Linked DNA regions of Cricetulus griseus. The protein of the gene in region 2 interacts with the protein of the main gene of each other region in a pairwise test. Links are inferred from orthologs where the notes say so. Each region holds a gene or a part of one and is shown on either strand. Other genes may lie near its edges.

Evidence for each region.
Region 1: the proteins of Golga1 (region 2) and Pdcl2 interact in a two-hybrid assay, tested with the Homo sapiens proteins (2 studies listed by BioGRID). The two-hybrid records come from large-scale screens. The link is inferred for Cricetulus griseus from reciprocal best matches to the Homo sapiens genes GOLGA1 and PDCL2.

What each region holds. Positions count from the first base shown.
Region 1 is NW_023276807.1:142,752,590-142,756,244, forward strand, and holds part of Pdcl2 (phosducin-like protein 2), read right to left. Parts: intron 2,107-3,655; coding exon 1,963-2,106; intron 950-1,962; coding exon 741-949; intron 1-740. UniProt on the Homo sapiens protein: Essential for male fertility, spermiogenesis and acrosome formation.
Region 2 is NC_048599.1:150,282,019-150,285,268, forward strand, and holds part of Golga1 (golgin subfamily A member 1), read right to left. Parts: coding exon 3,138-3,250; intron 1,780-3,137; coding exon 1,720-1,779; intron 1,267-1,719; coding exon 1,096-1,266; intron 710-1,095; coding exon 623-709; intron 1-622. UniProt on the Homo sapiens protein: Involved in vesicular trafficking at the Golgi apparatus level. Involved in endosome-to-Golgi trafficking. Mechanistically, captures transport vesicles arriving from endosomes via the protein TBC1D23.

The sequences.
Region 1 (3,655 bases), on a different chromosome or scaffold from region 2:
CATCTGGATAGGTGGTACAGAGAATGTACATGACAAAAAGCCCACAGAGAAAAGAAAGAGGCTTAATTCATCTGGGAACACATGGGAGGATAAATGGAAATGAGAACCTTGCGTTCAGGGTTTGGACCAGGAGGATAAAGTTGAGGAATTTGGGTGAAAGTAGAGATTTTTATGATGAAGTGTGAGTGTAAAGTTCTGTCTGGGATCTTCAGTGACTAAGCCCAGCCCAACTAAGGCATCCACTATCCAGGACTGAGAATTAGAGGTGTGCAGGTGGACTGGTTCTAAACTAAATAGTTTACATTTTTAGAGTTATTTTAAACAGACACCATTAAGATTCTTAAGCAAAAGGTGTTATGATATTATACCCATGACAACAGGAAAACCTATCTGGAGGATTTTTAAGAGGAATTGAATGGGGGCTGGAGAAATGGCTGGAGACACAGATCCCAGCACCCACATGGCAGACCATGAGTGCCTGGAGTTCCAGTGTCAGGTAATGCAACAACTGTTTCTGTCTTCCATGGGCACCAAACATGCACACTGCACAGGAACACACATACACACACACACACACATGTGCGTGCATGCTTGCGCTTGCTAATACAACTTTTAAAATCTTAAAAAGAAGAAAATTAAGGGGGAAAACTTTGTTTCAAAGAAATAAACTCATATTTGTTCATCTGGAGAACTTTTCACTTGTTACTATTACAAACATTAAACAAAAATTACATCATTACCTTCTAACTTGAGGTTTATCCCTCCACATTCTATAATTCCAATGAATTTGCCTTCTATCTGACCATTTTTATAAACAAAAATTGTTGGTAAACAGTTGTCATGGTAGTGTTCGATACAGCTATTCACGATGGCTTTAAGGAATTTAGTTTCTGGGAACTTCCTTGCTAGGAGACTAAGATGCTGGTTGACCAACAAGCACATGGGGACGCTAAAAAAGAGAATGCACAATGTGTTTCAAATACAGATTGCTTCTCTTAGTCTAGCCAAATAAGTGAAACCTATCTATTGCAAAAATAGATCTTTACTTTTTATATAAAAGCATATGTGTACCCTAGGAATGATGCTGGTACCCTGGGAATATGCATCCTAATTTAGGTAAACTACATTCCACTTAGCATTACTTTAGTCACTTAGCATCCTAGGTGGAAGAATATAGGAATACAAATGCAAAACAGGCATGTCTAGGGAATCTGGGGTAGCTCTGAGCTGCAATAAAGGGATCCAACTCTTGTCACTTCTTGGTCTAACCTCACAGGCACTCCCATCCAGAGTGCCTCATCTCAGACTTCCTTGGCTTTCTTGATCCTAATAAATTTCACCCAGTCTTCTGCATCCTGGATCCCAGTATCCAGAATTATTTCTCATCTAAAATTTAAAACTGGTTAAAAGCAGGATCCCAAACTTCCAATTCTTTCCACTTCATCCATCACAGACGCCCCACTCCACACACTCTCCCATCCCTCCCTTCCTCCTAGTGTACCACCCTGCACTTTGGCACGTGAGTTCATAGCTCACTCCCTGCCACCCTATGCCCCCCACACCTCCACTTTTTTCCATGCTCCTTGTGATGGTACACAATAATCTCAGAATTTGTGGGGTGGAAGGAGGATCAGGAGTTTAAGACTATCCTTGGCTGAGTTTGAGGTCAGCTTAGTGGGGTGTGTGTATGTTTGTGGTGGTGGGGGGTGATATAGGTGGTTTAATACCAAACAGTGATCACTTTTCTAACAAATGTGACAGACTTCAAATTGGAGATGAAAATATTTTAGCATACTTAATTTAATCCCTAGAGATAAACAATCTGCAATGCATTCATATGTAATACATGTTTCTTTCTCTAAGTTATTCCTCATCATAGGCATCATGAAGTCTAAAGCTAGAAGTGTTTTTAAAGCATTATGGCACCAACATTCTGAAATTACCACATTCCATGGTAGTTACCTTGATCTGTAGAGATGAATTATAACCCACAAATCTTTTTCTGCATTTGTAACTTCATTCACATACTGATTTCCAGAAATTTCTCTCAGTTCTCCAAATTTTTGTTTCTTCTTAAGTGCTTGCCATTCCTTTAACCGCTTTTCTCTAGTTGAAACAAAAATGTTATCTAAGTGTTATATCCTTTTATTTATTATGTATTTATTCTCTCTCTCTCTCTCTCTCTCTCTCTCTCTCTCTCTCTCTGTGTGTGTGTGTGTGTGTGTGTGTGTGTGTGTGTGTCCCCATGCGTCTGTCTGTCTGCCTTCCTGCTTGAGAGTTTTTGTGTTCCAGGAGTTTGCATGTGTCTGAGAAGCCCAAAGGCCTTGGACTCCCTGGCAGTGGAATTATAGGCAGTTGTGAGCCATCTGATGGGGGTTCTGGGGACTGAACGTTTTAGCATGTGCATATATGCATGTGTGTGCTTGTATGCATGTGTATGTGCACACAGGTGTATGTGTACCTGTGCACACCATTGCACATGTGTGGAGACAGAGAACATCTTGTAGGAGTTGGCTCTTTCCTTCTATCAGGTGGGTCCCAGGGAACAAATTCAGGCCATGGGGCTTGGCAGCAAGCACCTCCACCCACTGAGCCATCTCAGTGGTCCTTGTTTCCTGCATTCTTGATGTTCTGGCATCTAGAACTTTGCTAATCCTTTAGGGAATACTCATTTCAGAACTGGCTGGTTCTGAGAAAGAACAAACACTTGCCAGACAGCACATTCTTCAAACGTAAGCCAGCCAACTTGGAAAGCACAACCTTGGTCGGTTTTTATTTTCTCTTCTTTTTTGAGGCAAGGTCTGGCTATGTCCCTGAGACTGGTCTTACAGTCCTGGCTCAGACAGTCCTCTCACCTCTGCTTCCAAGTGTCTGGGACTTTGGGCATGCACTACCATGCCTGGTTTCAACTAACCCCCCCCTCCCGTTTGCCTTTTCTCCACCCTGTGGTTGTTGTTTTGTTTTCTTTTTCACAAGGCTCCCTGCCCTAGTCATCCCAGAACTGGTAACCAGATAACTAACAACAGACCTATCCCAGAGCCCACCAAAACGATTTGAACTAGCCAATCATAAGTCTGCTTACCCCTGCCTTGCATGTTCTTTCCCATAGAAACCAAAGGCTGTGTCAGAGGGTTTTTTTTTTTTTTTTTTTTTTTTTTTTCCCTTTGCTGCTTTTGATCCTGACCCTCTCAGGTGCTTCCTTTTGTGGACCCATGTGCCTGGGTGCACCCCTCCTCTTGAGAATGGTAACTGATCAGTGGCAGCCACCTCCCAATCATACTTGTGTCAAAGCAAACAACTCCCGAGCACACTTCAGAACACACTGGCCTCCTTTCATCCGGTAGAAGCATGCCAAATGAAAACTCATTTTACGTAACAATGAAGCCAAACACAATGACATCCAAAGAGAATAATAATGCAGACCTAGGTCTACTATTAGGCACCTTCTTAATGGTACAACTACCAAACTTTTCTCTTCCCACTCAATTTTCCCTCCCTAGGTCACTGGAAAGGTTAACACATGGGTTAATCCTGCCATCAGGAAGACACTGTTTAGTGGCCTGCATTTTGCACTTAACAATCAAACCAGTTGGGATTCATGTACATAGACATAAAGCCCTCTAGCTATTTTAAGCAGAAAGGAACTTAATCTGGG
Region 2 (3,250 bases):
TCCAAACAAACAAACAAACAAACAAAACAAAACAAAAAAACACTGTTAAATGTAGGTGCCAGGCCCGAACTGGAGCAGTTGAGGAAGTGACATCAATGAAAATTCTGTGATGAGCTATAGTTTGGTGTCTGGCAGTGACAAAGAACAGAACATTGGGGGCTGGAAAGATGGCTCAGCAGTTAAGAGCACTGGCTGCTCTTCCATAGGTCCTGAGTTCAATTCCCAGCAACCACATGGTGGCTCACAACCATCTATAATAGGATCTGATGACCTCTTCTGGTGTGCAGGTATATACACAAAGCACTCATACATAAAATATAAATAAAAGAATGTTCTTTGAACTGCCTGGTCAATTTCATCTTACGAAAGCAAATAAACTACCAGGCAGTGGTGGCACAAGCTTTTAATCCCAGCACTCAGAAGGCAGAGGCAGCTGGATCTCAAGTTCAAGGCCAGTGCAAGTTCCAGGACAGCCGGGGCTACACAGAGAAACACTGTCTCTAATGCCCCCGCCCCCCCAAAAGCAAATAAGCTGAGGTACTACTGTGGCTGGTCTGGGTGTCAGTGCCTGGGTGACTGACACCTGTGCAGCGGTGGAAACAGCAGACTAGGGAAAGCCTACCTTATACTCCAGAGTTTCTTTGAGCATGCTCTCTTCTTCTTGTGAAAAGTTCAACAGCACTGACACTGCTTTTATGAGATGAAAAGCCTGCAACAAAACCCACTTTTGTTGCCATAGGCCTTGGGGGTAGGCAGGCAGTTGAGGGACTAAAGAGCAGCATTTCCTGTTTCCCTTGGTTCACAAGGATGAGATGGTGGGTGCAGTTCTAGCTCTTTGAGTCATCTCTGACTTTGGGAGCCAAGAGAATATCCTCAACAGCTAACCCTGCTCTTCATGCTGGACAGACTCTTTCTAGGTCTTTGGCTTCAGCAACACAAGCTAAAATTCAGAGGGGAACCACTTCCCTTCATGGTCTGCTCAACAAGTCAGTACTGAGGGATGAGGGAAGAAGGTGGAAGCAGGCTGAGGGAAGCCATGCAGGACTGGCTGGCTGTACAAGCCCGATACCCCAAAAAGCATTTTGAAGTCTTTACCTCAGATTCTCGACAGGACATGAATTTTAAAACAACATGTTTAAGGTATTCAAAGTTGATCTCTCGGGCATCAGTCAGGTCAGCATTATTGGTGACAGAAGGGGCCATATTTGGTATCTCAGGGCCTGTCTTTTCCCGGACCTCAAAAAGCTCACTGTCAGGCCTGATTTTCTGAAAAGCAATGGAAAATGTGCCATGTCAAACCCCTCCAGCTAATTCTAGGATCACAGGAAGATTCTCCAGACCCAGCTGTAACTAGCTCTTCGACTAACTGCACATCATTGGGCAAAAGGGCCCTTGACTAGAAGGAAGTGCCTGAGCTGAGGAAGGCTCAGCTCTTCTCTTGGGGTCAGTAAGAGGAGTGAACTAGGGAACTCTCTATGTGAGAATGCAGGCAGGCATGGATAAGGCAGACTCAGACCGTGGGCCCTAGGTCAAATGGTCACAAGAACACTTCTCAAGCTTTAAGACCCTTCTCCCACCACCCCACACCTGACTTCTCAGAGAACCCTCTGCAATCAACTAAGAGAACACACCCCCCCCAGGGAGTCAATGACCTCAGGAGGACCAGAGAATCAGGGACATATGGGACTGAGTGCGTGGAGGGCACAAGTGGGCACTCACCAGCTCCTTCTGTAGAGTCTTCTTAAGTTCCAGCATCCTCTGCTGCATCTGCTTCATAATCTGAGGTAACCCCCACCCCCAATACCAGCTGTCAGTGCCATGTTAGAAGGCCCTAAGAGGCCCTCCTGTAGGTTCATTCTCAGGGCCCTCTAGGGCTTCCTTGCCGCTGTTCCACCCTTTGCTTTCCCAGGACCCACAGGGGCCACAGTATTAGCCTGTTCTTTCAATAGAACACTGCCACCCACCCTTGTGTGCTGGGCCCTCAGGCCTTCTGGCAGCACCCACATACTTGGAGCCTGCTGCTGTGAGTGGCTCTGTAGAATATACTACAGGTTTTTAAAGTATGGATGTTTGCTTTTAGTTGTGTTGAATGCCCTGGGACTGGAGTTGCCATGTGGATGCTGGGAGTTGAACCCAGGTTCTCTGTACGAGCAGTACTCTTAACCACTAAGCGATCTATCCAGCTCCTCAGATTCCTTTTTTTTTTTTTTTTTTTTTTTTTTTTGGTTTGAATCTCATGGTTGTCACTGCTGTACTGATAATTTCAGTGTTTTCTGTATAAGCCACTAATACTGGATACTGGTTTTATTTTTATGTTTTAATCAGTGGGTTTACTATAAGGCTTAAATGTAGTTTACTACACATTCCATCATTCATTCAAAAAGCTGTACTCCATTTTCCTAACTTGAAACTTTATAATCTGTCTCAAGGGATTTTATTTTCCTTAGCGACAGGGATCAAGCTCAAGGAAAAAAAAAATGTTTTTTGAGACAAGGTTTCTTCTGTGTAGCCCTGCCTGTCCTGGAACACTGTAGACTAACCAGTTTGGCTCAAACTCACAGAGATCTGCCTGCTTCTGTCTCCCAAGTACTGGGATTAAAGGCGTGGGCCACCATGGTGAGACCAGTCTCTAAAGAAAGCTTCTCATGGGCTGGAGAGATGGTTCAGAGGTTAAGAGCACTGGCTGTTCTTCCAGGGGTCCTGAGTTCAATTCCCAGCAATCATATGGTGGCTCACAACCATCTGTAATGAGATCTGGTGCTCTCTTCTGGCCTGCAGGCATACATGAAGACAGAACACTGTATACATAATAAATAAATAGCTATTTAAAAAAAAGAAAGCTTCCCATGGCCTAGGATAGCCTTTTCTTCTGGCCCTTCTGCATCTGTCTCCAGAGTGCAGGGTTACAGGTATGCATCACTATGTTCAGCAAGGACTTAACTTGCACTGAGAGATGTAAACACTGGAGGACAGAAGAGTGAGACCAAAACCTATCAGAAATCCAGCACCAACCTCTTGAGGAGAGATGGCAGACTTGGTGGAAGGGGTAATGGCACTGAGGAGGAACAGCGGGGCCTCAGGCCTGAGGGCTGGGCTAGAGCAGACCCACAGCTAGCCCAGGTCCTGGGTGTCCTCACCTTATTTTTCTCTGTAAGTTGCTGCTCTAAGTCCTGCTTTTCTTTCTGTAGCTGCTCTAGATCCATGGCTTCAACCTCACCATTTGGGGTTCCGTCTGCAGCCTGAAGCTCAT